Oryzias latipes: one gene and its partner. The protein of the gene in region 2 purifies or fractionates together with the protein of the main gene of each other region. This does not show direct contact. Links are inferred from orthologs where the notes say so. Each region holds a gene or a part of one and is shown on either strand. Other genes may lie near its edges.

Region 1 (4,557 bases), on a different chromosome or scaffold from region 2:
TGACATTGCTCAATCATTCTTTAAAGACTCAGAATAGAGAGAAAACTCACTGTTTTCAGGTGAAATATTGATCATGTTGAACTTGTAAATCTCTTTGGCGTAGTACTCAGTCTCTGTGCTATCCTGTCCGCAACTCTGCTGCCGGTCTCTTCCGAGCTCCTCAATGAGCTCCTTGGTGCTGTTATAAAGGGCCAGAACCTGAAAGGGTACCTGGGTCGGCCCCGCTGTCTGAGGCGGGCTGGTCATCCGGAGTTTACTCAGAATCTGTCCGCGCACCGCCTCCATTCTCTTTTTCCTGATGTTGTCGATATCCACAGTGGTGCAAGTGGACAGTGAGAAAGTCATTGTGACACAGTTGCAAAGGAGGAAAAGCAGGAGAGCTTTGCCCAGATTCATATTGCATTCACTCAAAACCGATCAAGTAAACGTAGAGAAATAAAATTGCAATAAGAAAAAAAATCTAATTCCAATTGTTATTGAATCCTTTTTAATATATATATTTTAAATTCAAGTCGTGAGTGAGTTCTGTTCCTGAAGAAATCCCATTTTCTCATGCGCTATGTCATCTTTGCAAAATGGGCAATTGCTTGGGCGCAAATCCGTACCATTTTGGAAAATATTCTCAGTTCTCCATCAAAACTCTCAATTACACTCTTCATTACCCCTTGTGTCATTCAAGCATCTCTCCTCTTTAGCTTTATTTCAATCTCTGCGCCGTGGTGAACTTGTCTCTATTCCACGAGGGTTCCCTCCCCATCCACTTGCGCTTTCTGGGGTCCGTGTGGCTCCGTTATCTCCCTGTAGTCCGACCTCAGACACGCTCTGCGCTGAGCCCTCAGTCAGACTTTATAGCTACAAGCAGTGACGTTTTGGAAGGAGGGGCAGCAATTTATTGTGCTTGAACAATGGGCGCTCTTGCAATCTCAATTTAAATGATGGCATTAAATATGCTTTAACATTTTAAAGGTGAAAGAACTTTCGTTTTTCAAAGAAAAAAAAAGTTAGTAATGCGTAATTTATTAATCATTAATTTCCTTGTTGATTTAGTCTGGGGATCCTTAAAATGTCAAAGAAGGCGATAATAAGCCGAGATTTTGAATATTTTGGGAGGACTAAACTCAAAAGTTGCATTTGATGGAAAGTGCAAATGCAGATGGTGAAGCAACATTTATGAGGTGCACCAAGTGTGCGCAGGAGTGCAACCTGATCCGCTTTTGAGTGCTACCGTTCAATGGGCCGTCTGTTTTTTAAAAGCATGCACAACACTGACATCTAGTGGCAAAAGAAGGGAACTGTGTTCAGAATGATTTTTGTTTCTTTGCAGAAAACTGAAAATATTGTATATTTGTTTACTTTTATCGTCAGATGGTCCCAAATAAATGTGAATTTGTGAATTATTAGCCACATCCATTTTTAAAGCTTTGCCATCCCCCTCCTTTTATTGTTTTTATAACTGTATGGCAAATATATACTTTTTAGGTGATGTGTGTAATATTTTGAAATTAAATACAGGTGGGCAATTATAAAAACGTTAATTGATTTCCTGTCTTTTAGTCAAGCAACTCGGATTCGCACGCTGATTGGTGTTGCTATGGACGCTGTTGCTATGTAACGCGTTAGCGTCAAACAGGAGCTTGGTTTTCTGTCTTTTTCTCCTCAGCTGAGGAGAAAAATGGACGACACCTTTCAGCTTGAATATGGTGGAGCGCCCAAAAACGTAAGCAGTTTGGTTGAATTGGTTCATAACAGGTGGAGAAGAGCACGTCTTTGCACATTTGTGTGGCGTAAGGGGTGAAGACGCACTTTAAAAGCCAAATCACGGTACGGTTAGCTAACTAGCCACTAGTAGGCCCTAAAGTTAAAACGCCGGGGGTTGTTACAGCTAGTTCACTTTTTATTGAAACAGTCAACGACACCGATACAAATGAGCTTGTTGTTTCTGGGCTACGAAAGCCGACAGATTTGTACTCGAGTTGCTATCTAACGAAAGGGTTTGCTATGCTAGCTAGAAAAAATTCCCGACATGCACCTTTTTTCGTTAGGGGACAGTTCTTTCTGCATTTTACCTTCATAGAAAGCTATACCAGACAGTTATGTAGAACAGATCAAGGTCACGACAGGGGCACTACTAAAACAACAACAAAAAAAAAACATATATATATATATATATATATATATATATATATATATATATATATATATATATATATATATATATATATATATATATATATATATATATATATATATATATAGGTTATTATATTCTTATTATGCATTTTTACAAAAAACAAAACAAAAACTGTGATAAAGATTATACATTGAGTGCAACTCAATTTTTTTAAACTTATTTTGTTGGTGAACCTGGGTCAGGTTCACATCATTTCCCTTTGCCTGCTTAGGTTTTCTATAGGCTCTCCAGGTTCCTTCCTGATTAGAGATTTGTGACTCTAAATGGTACCTTAGGGATGAATGGATGGTTGTGGTGACCCTAAACTGGTGACCTGGTCTGCTTTACCCCACCTTTGCCTACGGTAGCTATGAAGGGCTTCAGCAGCCCTTTAATGGGTATTAATAATAGATAAATTTTTTTCATGTATATTTAGTGGAGCAAGACATGTTGCATTTTTTTGTGCAAACCCAAGTATCATGAAAAGCTTAAAGCAAAACTTGCAAATATTTAGTAACTGATGAAAAAAAAACATTTTCCTAAGTTCCTCCTCATTTTCCAGGTTGCTAAATCTGGACGAAGAGCTCGTCCTCAGGCGAACCAATCGTCATTTGAAGATTCTCGCCATGCAAGGAAGTCCTCCACTTCTGCATCATTAGAAGTATGTAATCTACTGATAAGGCCAAGCTAGCTGCATTTCTTTTGTCTAAACATTTCCCGATGCAATAACTGCTTTGTTTTGTCCCATACATGAATCACATGATGCTGATGAGGTAGGTTGCCTGACCATGCCTGACATTTGCCTTTAATGCTCTAAATATAATTTACTTTAAACATTTTTACAGTTTTTAGATGCCTTTTTAAAATTGTTTTTGCACGTTTGCCTATTTCTAGTTGGTATGAAATAGTACCTCCCCATAGGTATATTGTTATTCCTAATTCTATCGGAAAATGCATATTGCTCTTAGAAAGTTCTGTTTGAAAATCTTTTGGTTCTTGCCGTTTTGTTGTTGTTACGTTTGTTTGTTTGCACTGGAGAAACGGAAACAAAAAAACTGTCTAAAATTCACTCCATGAATCAAAGTATTGGCACCCATAACTTAATATTTAGTTGCACCCTTTAAAAAAATTGTTGCTTCCTGTAATCATGAAAGTGTATCTCACACCTCTCTACGTGAATTTTGGACATTTCTTATGCAAACTGCTCCCGATTATTCAAGTCAAGAGGATCCTTTCTCCTTAATGTTTTAAAATTTCTGCACAGCTGTTCTATTAGATTTCGATCTGGACTCATTGCTTGTTGGCAGAATTCTCCAGCTCTTTATTTGGATCTATTTCTGAGTGCTTTCTAAAACATTTTGGGTCATTGTTCTCCTGGGAGGTCCATGATCTCTGAAGGAGATGCAGCTTTCTGACCACTATGTTGTGCATCAAAAATGTCTTGATAACAGTGGCGTTCAGACAGTCAAAGCATCCAGTAAAGCAAACCTAAAAAATCTTTGAAGGTCCAACATGTACTGTATATTTTATTTTGAAGGCCTCATTTCTTCTGTTGTAAACAGTATTATGATGTCCTTTACCAAAAAGTTCCACTTTTGTATCACTTTCTTCCAGGATTGCACTTTTGCTATATCAGTTCTCTCCAGCCTTGCTTTTTTTTTTAAATCATTTTGTCCAGTTCATTTTTCATATGTGTTGAATTTTTGTCAGGTTTGACTTAAGTTCTGCTTTTTTGTGTTGTTCCAGTGCATACAAAAGTAATAAACACATGAAATAAACACATATATTAAAACATTTATTTTAAAACACTAACATTATCTACATGCAAGAGTTTGAAGCGCTATTTTGTGCAAAACTCCTGGCATAATTTAAATTTACACACCACTCCCCATAGAGAGGGAACATTTTCTCTGTGAACTCTTAAAAAAAAAAAAAAAAAAAGGATGATGGTAAATTTAGAATTTAACAAGTAAGACTAAACATTATGAGAGAGGTCAAATAGAAGGAAATTGCGATGCTATTGTTGGCATTTGTGGAATCGGTCACATCTCTGCTCTGCTGGACTGTAAACAGGCCAACATTCCCAAAGCAGAAATTCCAGTAGTGCACTCGCTTTAGGCAATTCTTTCCAAATTAGGCCAACTTCCCTAATGTATGAACCCATATTCTCACGCCCCTCTGACCTCCTGTGCACATGCAATGCATTTTTTCAGTGTCGTGCAATTCAGATTTTTTTTTTTTCTTTGCTTCTAACCCTCTCGTGTCCTGACTAAAATACCCAACTGACTGGTCACATTCTTGACATTGTTTAAGTAAAAAAGTTGCTTTTATGGGCTCTTAAGGTTTGGCCACAAGTTCCATACAGACTGGCAGTGAGTCTTAATTTA
Region 2 (4,340 bases):
TCGAGACAGCAAAAAGTTGCCCGTCGTCTGTCCAACTTATCTGATCCAGACCTACGGGGGAAAGGATGGAGTGAAGCGGAAATCTCTCAGAATGAAAAAGAGGAAGCATTTACCTTTAATGTCCTCGTCAAGTTGAACAACGCTGCTGATATATTTCGACTCAGACAACTCGTGGACTTTGATGCTGTAACAGCAGAGGAGAAGTGTCAATATTTCATTAAAACAAAAGCCTTCCTGGGTGTCTTTGATGGTCAGTTCACCTGTTGTCCCCACAAGATGCAGCTTTGTGGAGGGCTGGCGATACGGCCACACTGTTGAGACTATCCTCCTGGTTGCGAGTCTGATAGATCTCGTGCCCGATCTCCCTAATATGTGTCGAAATGACTATGAAGTATCCATGGGAGAATCCAATAAGAATATATCCATCGCCATACCTGCACAATCAGACAAAAAATGTAGTATAGAATTCTCAGCCTTGATTTAGTCCCCGCTGTGCCAAATACGGTGGTAGTGCGTGGAAGTAAACAGTACCAGTGGTAGGACACAATGCTTCCATAGGTCCTCTGAAAAGCCAGTTTTATTGGGTTTTCTGGGTCGTTGATATTGAAGAGCATCAGGGATTTCTTATCCACAATCACACTCACCTGAGAAGGCAGAGATTGTGATCAAAATACGGACATGTGTAATGCTGAAACAGGTAAATATGGTTCTGTAAGGAAAACATCCAGTATAGACAAATTCATGTAATAAAATGCAGGTCAACACAAAATGAGTACTATAAAAATAGAATTAAAAGTTTAAAAAACAACATCTCATAAAAATAAAAGTGTTATCATCATAGAGTCTGCACTCAGGCTATTACAAACAGGAGTTAAACTATCTGTTAAACCAATTATGGAAGAAAATAGGACACATAGTTCTGATGAGTGACAGTAACAGGCTGCTGCACCACAAAGTGAGGAAGAGCAAAAAACAAAAGGCTACAAATAAAGTCAATTTTTCAAGTATTATCGAACAACCTCACCTCAAACAGGCAAAACATAACCTATGGTTAAAGTAAAACAAATCAAGCCAGAAACCTACAGTACTCTCTCCGTGAGATGATCTTTCATCTGTTTTCATCGATGAAAAGTAAATGTCACCAGGTTCTCCACGCAGTGCAGCCTAAAAAAAAAAAAAAAGACGGGAAAGATTAACTACCGTACATTTTTTGTGTCAGATTTCCGTGGTCGATAACAATAATAAATGTTCTGACACTATATGACACTAAAGGAAGTGCACCAGTACCTGTGAGATGGTATCTCCTTCATGGTTACTGATGGTGAGAGTGTTGTCATCGCTCCCCAGGGCCAATAAATTCTGAGAGTTCCAGCATCCACAGGTGATCCTTTTGGTGTGTTTCCCTAAAGTTAGACAACATCAGACATTTCATTCTGTAACACTCACCAATACTGACATGCAGCTTTTGAGGTTGCATTCAGTGTGCTTTACCTAAGACCGGGATTTTGCGTGAGGTTTGTCTGTTGTAAATCAACAGGTTTCCTTTGGCGGTCCCTACAGCTAACAGAGGGCCGGTCTTTGACCACAAGATGAAGGACATCTGATCTTTGCTGGGGACAACAAGAAGTATAAAGGCTAAAATTAGTATTTTTATTTGCACTGAGAATGTTTCATTTGGTAACTATTCTAACCCGTAGAGATTGATTATCATACTTCAGGCCACTGTCTATCTGTGATGTTTTATTGACACTGGCGTCCCACAGGTAGATGGAGACGGATTTTGCTGCAATAACGGCCAGAATGTCGCCGTCGTTATCCCAGTCCATCCCCATACAGCGCCTTACAGGAGGAGGATGAGGAGGAGAAAGAAAAGCAAAAAGGTCTTTATTTTATGTTTTTCATCCATCTTGATCAAACAAAAACAAACCCTAAAGAAAACGTCCCACTTACCCTGGAAGGTTGAGTTCAGTCCATTTATGTCCATACCGATCAAATATTTTTACCGAGTTGTCCTGTCTGTAGCAATAAAGGTAGAAAGAAACATTTTTGAACTTCTGGTTATAATCTTACCTTGATTTTTAAAATCCCCCCCCCCAAAAAAAAAATAATACTCACCCTGCAACAGCAATATAATTACCAAGACTTTTTTGCCATTTGTAAAGCAGGTTGGAGCCGGTCCAGGCCTTGTCGGCAAGAATAAAAACACTCTGTGGAGATATATGACTCTTTTAATATATCACTGATCCAAAACCTAACTTTTCTCTGAGGGGACAATTTACAGAGATGCCTCCCTTGTTTATGAAATCTGCAACTTTTTAGTGCAGTACACAGGTGAAAGGTTATTTAAAATATAATTGTTCCTACATTTGAAACAACAGATTATCCTCTCATTGGTGGCAAAATGTTTGGTTTCCTCCCAATTCTATTCACTTAAACTTGTCAAAGTGGCTCATTCTCAAATATCTATGAATTATTTGGGTGACTTTTAAAAAACATTTACTTAGTTTGGATAATAAAAGAAAAAAAATGAAATTGGAAAAAAACAAAACAAAACAACGTTTCTCTGCAAGTAGCATCAAACAACTCATTAAAACTCAGTTAAAAACTGTTGTAGCTTATACTTCCAACCCGTTTTACCTTTTTAAAAACATCGTATACACTCAAAATCCATCCACAACTCATTAAAGAAAGGCACGAATTAATTTAAGAACACATACATAAATTTACCTTAACCAAAGCCTGTGTAAAACGTTAGCATAGCACTCAACACCACACCGAACCAGCTTTTTTCCCCCAGACGTATTTCACAGTAACCACCACAAAGTTCCCTTAACTGCGATATAAATTACCTTCATTTTGTTTGATTTAATTATCTCGAAACTGAAGTTTTCGTGCCATCAGATTCTCAACCTAAAGGGGATAAAAAACGTATTTCCCACAATGCTTCACTCTCAGGCGTCCACTACAGCGATGTCATAGCAACAGACAGTAGCCAATCACACACCTCCATAAACTGCCGTTCAAAAGGCTCTCGCCTGAAACATTATTTTGTACCTGACACGATTTTATATTTGCAATTGTGCTCGCTCATTCCCTCAATATCTACAGGATGAGGATTTTCTGTCATGACGTAATCAGATAAAACAGGTTTCTGCAAAAATAAACGAATTAAGTGATGTTAATCCTTACATTAATTCCTAACAAAACATAGATTGGGGTTTGGAAAATGTAAATTTTTTCATTATTTTGATTATTTAATGCCTCAATATTTAAGGATTCATACCCTCCAGGGCTGGAAATATTAGGATTAAAAATAATCCTGATTTGGCCAGTAATACATTTCAAGTTTCTGAAAAGAGTAATTGTAGAAAGTTTGTTATAGTTTATCACTGCAGTACCGAAGAGGATTAGGGCCATGGACAAAGAAAAAAAAAGCGCATAGAAAATTCTGACTTTAATCTCAGAATTCTGACTTTAAAGTCAGAATTGTCTATGACCTTTTTTTTTATTTCTCCATGGCCCTAATCCTCTTCCGTACTGCAGTATGCAGCATGTTCGCACAATTAATATTTTTTGCATGTACTGTAATTAGGGCGCTTACTGGGTGACGAAAAAAAAAGTTTGTTGTTTTTTTTTTGTATTTTGTTAATTTCTTATGTTAAAAGTTGAACTCAAATATATTGTAGTCATGAGTTTCGATTGTGGTTAAATACTGAACTGAATGCACCTTGAAAATCAGAGCATCAATGTATGAAAACAACTGGTTTGTTGTGCTGTTTTACTTGCAGCTTTTTAATTGCAGAATCTGACCACAAGGTGGCAGTATTAACCTGGTCACCAGTAAAGTTCCGTTCCAGACGCCTCATTTTTGTGATTTGAGCTGTGCAGCTTCATCAACAATGAATTCAAGGAACAAACGCGACAAAAAATAATAGTTTCTTTAACGCCCTCAATTTGTTTATTAATGATTGTTCTCTGCCTGTTTATTGCCCTGTGGCAGAGTAGTTCAGATGAAAGTGTTATTTCTGAATTAAATCCACTGCTTTGAATGACTTTTCTTTGTGTGTGGGATCCTCCATAATGCCCTATGGAAATGTGAACCTTATTTCCACTTACAACATCCTCTAATTGTCTAGGTTTTCTGCCCCTCCGTGAGTTACCTCCTGTTAGTAGAGTCATCAGTTATCACACTTGCCTCCTGTTGGCTGTTTTTGTAGGAAGAGTCACTTTTTTTGTATTTTTTGGGTCATGCAATACGCCACAATCTCATCCCATGATTATAAATCCTAAAAAGTGTTACCCTTATGGTTTTCTTCCACTGCAGTTTACTTGCCATGCAG

Evidence for each region.
Region 1: the proteins of wdr19 (region 2) and ift43 purify together in Homo sapiens (affinity purification with mass spectrometry; 3 studies listed by BioGRID and IntAct, counting the BioPlex papers as one, with this or other methods). This does not show direct contact. The link is inferred for Oryzias latipes from reciprocal best matches to the Homo sapiens genes WDR19 and IFT43.

The regions. Positions count from the first base shown.
Region 1 is NC_019880.2:13,329,599-13,334,155, forward strand, and holds the start of ift43 (intraflagellar transport protein 43 homolog), read left to right. Parts: upstream 1-1,588; 5' UTR 1,589-1,672; coding exon 1,673-1,717; intron 1,718-2,732; coding exon 2,733-2,831; intron 2,832-2,922; coding exon 2,923-2,943; intron 2,944-4,557. Other genes in the region: tgfb3 (transforming growth factor beta-3), read right to left, coding at 51-396. UniProt on the Homo sapiens protein: As a component of IFT complex A (IFT-A), a complex required for retrograde ciliary transport and entry into cilia of G protein-coupled receptors (GPCRs), it is involved in ciliogenesis.
Region 2 is NC_019859.2:13,002,855-13,007,194, reverse strand, and holds the start of wdr19 (WD repeat-containing protein 19), read right to left. Parts: upstream 2,968-4,340; 5' UTR 2,856-2,967; coding exon 2,850-2,855; intron 2,208-2,849; coding exon 2,116-2,207; intron 2,017-2,115; coding exon 1,951-2,016; intron 1,840-1,950; coding exon 1,714-1,839; intron 1,611-1,713; coding exon 1,492-1,610; intron 1,404-1,491; coding exon 1,288-1,403; intron 1,165-1,287; coding exon 1,084-1,164; intron 645-1,083; coding exon 532-644; intron 435-531; coding exon 261-434; intron 185-260; coding exon 114-184; intron 52-113; coding exon 1-51. UniProt on the Homo sapiens protein: As component of the IFT complex A (IFT-A), a complex required for retrograde ciliary transport and entry into cilia of G protein-coupled receptors (GPCRs), it is involved in cilia function and/or assembly.